Oryctolagus cuniculus: one gene and its partner. The main gene of each other region encodes a partner of the protein of the gene in region 2 in a complex. Links are inferred from orthologs where the notes say so. Each region holds a gene or a part of one and is shown on either strand. Other genes may lie near its edges. The genes, in order: TNNC1 and TNNT2.

Region 1 (4,547 bases), on a different chromosome or scaffold from region 2:
TGTGCAGAGTGTGGAGCACGGCCACAGGCCCTGAGAGACTCCAAGGCTTCCAGCAGGGGCTGGGGATCCAGAGCAGGCGCAGACCCCGGGAAGGGCGCGGGCACCGGGAGGGGGCAGTCAGAGGCAGGCAGGCCACTGGGGGGCAAGGCTTTATTCACACCGCAGGCTGGGGAGGGATCCAGGGTCGGGGCGAGGGGCGGCTGACCCTCATGGCCCCGCCCCGGCGGCACCCCAGCTGGAGTCGGAGCATCTGGGCGGCTCCCGCTGAAGGCTGGGTCTATTCCACACCCTTCATGAATTCCAGGAACTCTGTGGAGAGAGGGCCAGGAGGCAGTGAGCGGGCCGCCGGGCAGGGCACGGCGGCAGGGCCCCGGCCCCTGCTCACCGTCGTAGTCGATGCGGCCGTCGTTGTTCTTGTCGCCGTCCTTCATGAGCTCCTCGATGTCGTCCTCCGTGATGGTCTCGCCCGTGGCCTGCAGCATGATCTTCAGCTCGTCCAGGTCGATGTAGCCGTCGGCGTTTCTGAGGGGGAGCCGGGGCTGCAGCTTGTGGGGAGGGCCGGAGGCACCCCTCACCCCCCTCACACAGGGTCCCTTCATCTCAAATTGGAGGCTGCCCACTGCCCCAGTTCTGCCCGGTCAGGGTGGCAGGCTCAGAGGTCAAGAGCAGCGCGCTCACTTGTCAAACATGCGGAAGAGGTCAGACAGCTCCTCCTCGGATTTCCCTTTGCTGTCGTCCTTCATACAGCGGACCATCATGACCAGGAACTCGTCGAAGTCCACCGTGCCGCTGCCTGTGGTGCGGGCGGCATGCCGTGAGGCAGCGGCCTGGACACAAGCCCCACGTTCTCCCTGCACCCTCACACCGCCTCTTGGAGGCGAGCGTGGTCAGTATGCCCATTTGACAGACGAGACAACTGAGGCTCAAACAGGCTAAACAGCCGCTGGACAGACAGAGCCAGGCCTGACCCCAGCGAGACGGGCAGGCGGGGCTCACCGTCTTCGTCCACCTCGTCGATCATCTCCTGCAGCTCCTCGGGCGTGGGGTTCTGGCCCAGCATCCGCATCACCTTGCCCAGCTCCTTGGTGCTGATGCAGCCATCCTCCGCGCCCAGCACGAAGATGTCGAAGGCCGCCTTGAACTCTGCATCAACAAGGTGGGGCCGGGGACAGAGAGAGAGCAGCGCGTCTCAGCAGCCAGGACCCCAGAGGGCCAGCTGCCAAGCTGCCTTCTTCCCTCTGAGACCGCTGAGGTGCCAGCCAGGGGGCCCAGCTTCTGGCCTCCAGCTGGGACTCCTCTCCTGGGACTCCCCCAGCCTGGCCCTGCTGTCCCCAGCAGTGCAGCAGGGGACACTCACCATTTTTCTGCTCTTCTGTCAGCTGCTCTACCTAGGGAGGAAAAGGGGTCTCAGGACACAGACTCAGGCCTTGGCTGCTTTCGAGGGAAGCAACTGTCCCACAGGTGGGAAGGCTGAAGCCAGGAGCCAGGCCACCAAGAAGAGACCTCAGCCCTCCCTTCCTGTCCCAAAGCCCTGAGGTGACACAGCTGGCCTCACTGAGGCTGGGCTCGGGGCCAGGGTGACAGGTGGGCACCCCCTCCAGGGCCAAGGTGACCCGGGGTAACAATAGCCAGTGACCACTCAACGCCCTTTCAGCCTCCCTAATGAAACCCAAGCTGCGAGGCCTGAAGGACAGCTGTCCCTCAGGCTGGGACAATAAAACTCGGGTGGGGACGGGCAAAGCCACCCTCTGTAACCTGACCAGGGTGACCACTGGGCTATTTTTAACGGGGGACAAAGTTAAACCTGGTGATTGTTCTGGGACTTCGGCATGCTGGGGGTGGGGCAGCGTTATCTGGCCCCCTGGCCTACTGCTGTCGCCTAGGGAGCCAAAATTAGTCCCCAGCCCCGCCAGGCCATGTATGGGCACTGGGCGGAGGGCTGCCTCCACCACCCCCCTGGTGGGGGTGGGTGGGCACACCCCCACAGCCAGCCATAGCCCTTCCCTGCCTAGGAGTGGGGCCGCATTCAAGGGGCTGAGGGAGGGTTCCCCTGGGGACAGCGCCTGGGCTCCCATGTGCTTGTCCCCGGGGCAGAGGTCACCCCCCCGGGATGGAACAGGGTCTGAAGCCCCTCAGTGACCCCAGCAGGGTGCAGGTACTTGGGGTGACCACTCTCCAGCCCTTGCTCCCTGACCCTCGTCCCCAGCTAAACCACTGAGCCCTGAGTTTACCCGTGGGCTGGGCCCCTCATTGTCGGTTCCCGTCTTCCCTGCCCCACCTCTCCTGCACGCACACCTAGTCCTTCCCTGCCTTGAGCTTCCATGCCCCTTCCCTAGCCCAGACTCGGGTCTTGCAGCCTGCTCCTCACGACCCCTGGCCACGTTCCAGTCAGCTAGGAAGTGGAGGTTGGAGGGGCACTGCAAGGGTGCGAGCGACAGGCTGCGAGGGGCAGGGAGGGCCAGGAGACAGGAGACAGCCACAGAGACTCAGAGAGGCAGCTCCAGGGGAGCTGAGAGATGCGGAGACATGATGCAGAGATGTGGCCGAGATGGGCACACAGCCTACAGACACGGGAAACAGGGGGCTTGACGGCAAAGGCTCTGACCCCCTCCACTCACCCTGCCAGCTCCACTAGACTGAACCCCCCCCCATGCCAGACCCACCGTCCCTTTGAAGATGCATGTTTGTGTGGGCCTCTCCTGGGTCCCCCCCACTTTGCTGGGGGTCCCCCCGCCCCCATTCTGGGCTAAGTTCCCAGCGGCTCCCCCACCCCAGCCCTGCCCCTCTGCTTCCTCACCGCAGCTTTGTAGATGTCATCCATGCTGTCAGTTCACAGGACGGCTGCTGGGGTTGCCAGCAGCCCTGGGCCTCGGCTTAAATAGCCCTGCTCTGCATTCCCGGCCCAGCCCAGCCCACCGCGGCGTGCAGCGTCCTCCGCCCCCTCCCCGTCCCGGGGAGCTCGGGCTGGCCAGACTCCCTGTGTCCTTTGCCTAGGGCAGGGAGCAGATGCAAGGCTGCAAGGAGCAGCCCTCTGCCCCTCACACCACACGTAAGACTCCCTAGAAAAGCTTCTTTTTTTTTAAAAGATATTTTATTTGAAAGGCAGAATAACAGGAGAGAGAGAGAAAGAGGGCTGGTTCCATTGGCTGGAACACTCTCCCAAACAGCAGCCAAATCTGGGCCAGGATGAATCCGGGAGCCAGGAACTCCAACCTGGTCTCCTACATGGGTGGCAGGAGTCTAAGTTCTTGAGCCATGGTTTGCTGCCTTCCCAGGCGCATCAGCAGGAAGCTGGATCAGAAGCAGATCAGTCCAGACTCGAACTGCAGTCTGAGACGGGACACCAGCCTTGGAAGCAGTGGCTTGCCCCGCTCTGCCACCCTAGACAGCTTTCTTGAACGAATGGGGGGAGGTAGAGGCCTCAGGCCACGCCTGCATGCGGCAGCTCAACCTTCCACCCAGTCGTGGGGATGCACACGACCGAGGCCCTGGAGGAGTGCTGACTTGGCCAAGATTCGGCAGTCTCGGCAGCCCTTGCCTTAAGCGAACCCTCCCCAAGTGAGGGACAAGGCCAGCACGGGGGGTGCAGGGCCCTGCGGAGAGATGCCAAATGCCAAGGCACGGTGCCATGGAACCGGTGAAGGACCGGGTAATCCGGAGCCCTTCAGCTGGAAGTGCCAGAGAGGCCACGGCCCAGGCCTCCAGTTTGCCCCGTGCTTGAGCCAGCTGCACTCAGATACCACCCCTAGAAACCTCCCCCTCCCAGCGTCTTCACCTGTAGCTGGGTCTTCCACTGGGTCAGGGCTTCCTTGCCCCTGGGCAGCACTGTGGCACCTGCCCGGGCGGGGGGGGGGGGCAGGGCCAGCCTGTCTCCCCCCACCTTGCGCTCAGGCAGGACACCACCTGGGGTTTCGCGCACAGCGGCCAGACCGTCCCCTTCCCTCCACCCACCATGCCAGCTCCTCTCCAGATTCCGCCCCCACCCCTGCGGAGCTCCCGCTGGATAAACTCCCTGGCTGGCAGACTACTCCGTGCTGGGCTCGCTAAGTTCTCCAGGGGCCACCGGGTCAGCAGATGCCCAAGCCTGGAGAGGTTTGGGACTGGCCGAGTCACGGGCCCAGCTCCTGTCTCCTGCCAGGAGGGGCATGAGTCTGACAGCCTGGGGATGCGCTACGACTGCCCTCTTTTCCGGAGAAAGAAACTGAGCCGGGCGGAACCGTAGCCCAGAAGGCCACAAGCCTTCCAGCCTCCTTTCTCCAGGGCTGGGACTCTTCGCTCTGCGTTCTGTTGCGCCGCCGCGGCGCCACGCAAACACAGGCGCCGGGAGCGAGCGGGTCCCGCGGGGTGCGCATGCGCGCCGGCGGCGGCTACCGTCCACTGCGCGCGAGGGGCGGGGCGAAGGCTGAGACAGCAGCGGGGCCAAGATGGCGGCGCAGCGCGAGGCGGGGGCGGGGGGCGGCGGGGGCCTGGGGGCGGTGGGACGCTGACCCCGCCCCCTGCTGCTGCCAGTCTGCGCCGAGCGGCTGTGGCGGCGGAGCCCCGAACAT
Region 2 (4,422 bases):
AGCCTTCAAATCCGGCCACGCTCCTGACACAGGGGTCTCTGTTTGCTTGGGAGGATTTGCCACTTTATGGCAACAGGCTTTGAGTTGGGGGGGTGCTGAGACCCAGCCCCCCGGATGGGGACCCGGCTGCCTGCCGCACGCAGTAGGATTTGCCTCGCCTCACGCAGCCCCGCTTGCTTGCCGTGACTGGCCGACACTTGCCCCCACGCAGCCGGGGACCCTGGTGTAGATGACGCCGGGGAGCAAGCTCTGGAAGGAAGCCCTGTCGCCTACACGGCGGCGTTCCCAGTGCCTCTGCTTCCGGAGAGTTCTTCCACCTGCTGTCGCCCCTTCCTGGGCCGGAGCGAGGGCTGAGTCCTCAGCTGTGCCCCGTGGTCATGGCGCTGGGCTTGCCTTGCACGGGGCAGCTTCCTTCCTGGGCACAGCCTCTCCAAGGCTCCGTGGTCCAGAGCCAGAGCCCAGCTGCTGGTTACCATTCGTGATGGCTCCCCTGGTGGCAGTCCTTGGTGGGCACGCCAGGCCAGCTCCCCTCAGTGGTCACGGGCCGGGAGGTGGGTGGGGGTGTTCCCTCGGACTGTGGAGGTGCCCGAAGCTCAGGGGAGCCGATGCTGCAGAGCGCTGGCCCGGGAGCGGGGACCCGGGCCACAGTGCGAGAGGCACCAGCCAGCCGCCCGCCACCGCTGCCTCGCCTCTGCTCCGAACTAACCTGTCTCGCTTCTCCCTTGGCTGCCGCTGCCCCCTGACCCTCAGAAGAGGAGGACTGGAGAGAGGACGAAGATGGTACTGTACCTTTCCCCCCGGCTCTGCTTCCTGCACCTGCTGTCCCCGGTGCCAGCGCCTGGCCCCCGCCTTAGAGGGGGCCAGTCAGGGCCACAGTTCTGAGCTGGTCATCACATCTCTCCTTTAGGGTTATGGGCTGGGAAACGCCAGCTGGCTGTCTCCCTGTGTGGCCACTGAGGGGCCCATATCAGGGCTGAGATGCCCCACCTACCCACCCACTGCACAGTGCTGGGCTGTGTGTGGGCCCTCCGTAGGAGCCAGGCAGCACCCAGGCAGGTGGCCGGTGGCAGGAGCCTGGGGACCAAGTGATCTGGGGGCTGGAAATGGCCAGGTCAGAGGGAACACGGTGTCAGCCTGCAGATGGCCCCTGGGGTGGCACTGGACCTGCTCCTGGCACCCAGGGACAGCACTCGGGCAAGGGGGACAGGCGAGGCTCGTTCCAGAGAGCACGGGTCTGACAGGGAGGAGTCAGGATGCGGGGGCCGCCTGGGAGGGGCAGCGCAGCTGATGGCGGTTGCCACTGCGGGCCAGGCATCTACTCTCATGCCTTCTGGAAGAATCTTCTCCACTGTGTCAGTCTCGGTCACCGAGGACCCTTGCCAAGCACTTCCTACGGGCAGAGCACGGGCCAGGGGTTACCCTGTCCGCCTCACCTGTCTGTCCGTCTGTCTGCTCCAGGCGTCTCAGCAGGGTGGGGTCCGCATCCTGCCCAGCATGTGGGTGGGAACAGAGGGTCCCGCAGCCTGCTGCCGAGGGCAGCCCCTCTGACTGCCAGGCAGCTCCTCCATCCTCAGTCTCGCTCTGCTGGTTCCTTCAGATGGGGGGCGGGGGGCTCAGGACGGGGGCTTCCCCAGCACTTTCTCTCAGGTGGAGCCTGTCTTGTGGGCTGGAAAGTTGGGGCTGGGGGCGTCATAGCCCCAGGGAAGCCCCTGGGGAAAGAGGCGCTAGGTCAGGCAGACAGGGCCCCCGGGCCCCCCAGTCCCTGGCTTGAGTCTCGTTGGGCCCACCCCTTCCCTGCTGCTGCCCACAGCACCCACCGCACCCATCACACCCCCACCCAGCTTTCTGGCCCTCCCGGGCTCTGTGTTCAGAAAGGCCCAGTGGGGAGTCCCAGACCGCAGGAGAGGCAGGTTCATGGCTACAGTGCTTATCACAGTCCTGGTCACACCCGTCTGCCCTGACGGTGTGGGCTGCAGACGAGCGGGTGGCATTTTACACCTTGAGGGCACCCAGGATCCCCAACCCTGCAGCCGGAGCAGGAAGCAGGCCACAGGCCGCGAGTCTGTGGATGCACATGGCTGTGCCAATAAAACTTTATCGGAAGCAATGGTCTACAGGCTGGACGTGGCCCCTGGGCTGCGGTTTGCTGGCTTCTGGCTTAAACCAAGCACTCGAGGCAGCCTCTCGTCACTCACGCCAGTTGCCTCCAGGTTCATCCACGCCATCCCTCCAGTGTGCTGGGCAGGGCCGGCCACTCTCTGTCCCGGCCTCTGCCTGGGTGTTCACTGTGTCTCGTTCCCCTCTACAGAGCAGGAGGCAGGGGAAGAGGAGGAGGCTGGGGGCGGAGCTGAAGCTGAGGCTGAGACCGAGGAGACCCAGGCCGAGGGTAAGGCCCTGGGCTGGGGGCTGGGGGCTCGCGGGGTGCTGAACACCCCCCAGAGCCATTCCTGCGGCAGAAAGAAATCCACCTGCCTCCAGCCCTCCACCTGTGCACCTGCCCCTCCTGGCTGGGTGGGATACAACCATCAGTTGGCCAATCAGTGAATGCTGGTTGAGTGCTCAGGCAGTCTTGGGCCCAGGGGCATGCATGTGAGTGCAGACCCCTGGCCCCATAAACCAGCAGCTCTCCCTTGGTTAGGCCCTGACTCTGGGGTGGGTGGAGGATTAGCACTTAGAACAAGGCCCTTTGTTGATTTCTCATGTTTCCTTTAGAAGATGGACAAGAAGAGGAGGATAAAGAGGATGAAGGTGAGTGTGGGCCCCCCCAGCAGCCCTGGGGAGGCGGAGGGGCCAGCGAAGGAGAGGATGGGACTGGGGGTCCTTGCAAGGTGTGGTGCTCTGGGCCTTCACCCCTTCTCATCCCGGGAGCTGTCTTAGTGGTGGCCAGTGACAATGGGACCAGTGACCAGCCCCTGGGACCCGGAAGTCACGCCCTCCATGAGGCTCCTAGAGCTCAAACCACTGGGAGGTGTGGGGTCTGTGGGGGAGAAACCCCGGGGCGTGGAGGGTCCCAGGGTGGGGTGGGGGCGGCATTGCTGCCGTCATCCTGTGCCCCAGCCCTTCCGGGAACATCGTCTCAGCCTCACCTCCAGGGCCAGACAGCAGCTAGGGCACCTAGCTCCCAGCACCAGGAAGTCCAGGGGGCAACCAAGAGACCTGGGAGGGGACTGTGGGACCACCTCGGGGACCTGGCCACCGACCCTCCTGGCTGCGAAGCCCCAGAGGCCATGGCGGACAAGAGCAGACCTTGAAGTAGCATGCTGAGGTCCATGCTGAGAGTGTGGCCGGGGGACGCGGCTGCCCCCTGAGACCCCCCTCCCCTGGGGACTGCTGTGGGAGTCAGCCTGGCCTCACAGGGGCCCACAGGTGCCAGCTCATGGTGGGGGGGGGGGCTGGGGCCTCCTGACCCCGCGGCTGTGTGCTCTCCTCTGCAGATGGCCCCGTGGAGGAGTCCAAACCCAAGCCCAGGTGAGTGGCATGGACCTGTGGTGAAGCCCTGGGAGGGGCCGGGCCAGTGCAGGAGGGTGATGGGCGCAGGTGGCACGGGCTAGGGGTGTGGCAGCACACACTACCCACACTGCCATGTACAGTTGTACAGGTTGCACACTGCACACGGGGTGAGGGCTGAATTCCACCCTGGCGCGTTTGTTGAGGAAGCAGGTGGACCAGCGTCCGCCCCGAGCAGGCACAGGGTGGCCAGATCACCACCCTCTGAGGCTGGGGTGGCCCTGGGACAAAAGGGAAGTGGCGGTGGTGGCCACAGAGCTGCCGAGGGCAGAGGTCGACCCCCCTGGTGGGGTGGGCTTGGGGGGGTATTCCCCATGCCGATGGAACCTCCACTCCTGCCCCTCTCAGTGGGTGGCGGGAACCTGCTCTGGCCAGGCGGTCCCAGCACCTGCGCTGCAAACCTCACGTCAGCTCCACCCGGGCGTGCGCGCGCCCGCCTGGGCCTGGGGTCACCCACCAGCTGAGACTGCGCTGGTCCGGGTCCCGGGGCGGTCCTGCCGGGTGCAAGGCGGGGAGCTGGCGTCCCACAGGCCCGCCTTCCCATCACAGCTTCCTGCTTCCTCGCCTCTCCCCGCTCCCTCTCCTTAAGCGAGAATCCCACTGCCACCTTCCTCCCGGCGCACCAGGTACAACACCCGGGTGCGGGGTGGACGCCAGAGCTCCTTTAGGCGTAGGTGTTGGGGCCGGCGCACGCGGCGGGGTCGACGTCACGCAGCAGAGTTGACGTCACGCGGCAAGTTCGAGGTCGTGTGCCAGGGCCGGCTCCCCGACTCGCCCCTTCTCTCCTCCCACAGGCCCTTCATGCCCAACTTGGTGCCGCCCAAGATCCCCGATGGCGAGAGAGTGGACTTCGACGTGAGCAGCGGCGTGGGCAGAGCAGGCCTGGGCTGGGGGGACGGCGGGGGTCCCTAGGGC

The links.
Region 1: the proteins of TNNT2 (region 2) and TNNC1 are in contact, whole or in part, in a crystal structure (PDB 1J1D), measured with the Homo sapiens proteins. The link is inferred for Oryctolagus cuniculus from reciprocal best matches to the Homo sapiens genes TNNT2 and TNNC1. Residues at the interface, in NP_001263274.1 of Homo sapiens: Gln266, Tyr269, Asn272, Val273, Asn276, Arg277, Asp280; in NP_003271.1 of Homo sapiens: Asp99, Phe101, Arg102, Asp105, Ala108, Asp109, Gly110, Tyr111, Arg147, Tyr150, Asp151.

What each region holds. Positions count from the first base shown.
Region 1 is NC_091441.1:97,259,940-97,264,486, reverse strand, and holds TNNC1 (troponin C, slow skeletal and cardiac muscles), read right to left. Parts: upstream 3,065-4,547; 5' UTR 2,822-3,064; coding exon 2,798-2,821; intron 1,389-2,797; coding exon 1,358-1,388; intron 1,144-1,357; coding exon 997-1,143; intron 794-996; coding exon 679-793; intron 523-678; coding exon 386-522; intron 310-385; coding exon 278-309; 3' UTR 134-277; downstream 1-133. Other genes in the region: NISCH (nischarin), read left to right, coding at 4,546-4,547. UniProt on the Homo sapiens protein: Troponin is the central regulatory protein of striated muscle contraction. Tn consists of three components: Tn-I which is the inhibitor of actomyosin ATPase, Tn-T which contains the binding site for tropomyosin and Tn-C.
Region 2 is NC_091444.1:17,358,121-17,362,542, reverse strand, and holds the start of TNNT2 (troponin T, cardiac muscle), read left to right. Parts: upstream 1-1,614; 5' UTR 1,615-2,068; coding exon 2,069-2,210; intron 2,211-2,308; coding exon 2,309-2,386; intron 2,387-2,712; coding exon 2,713-2,748; intron 2,749-3,434; coding exon 3,435-3,468; intron 3,469-4,301; coding exon 4,302-4,362; intron 4,363-4,422. UniProt on the Homo sapiens protein: Troponin T is the tropomyosin-binding subunit of troponin, the thin filament regulatory complex which confers calcium-sensitivity to striated muscle actomyosin ATPase activity.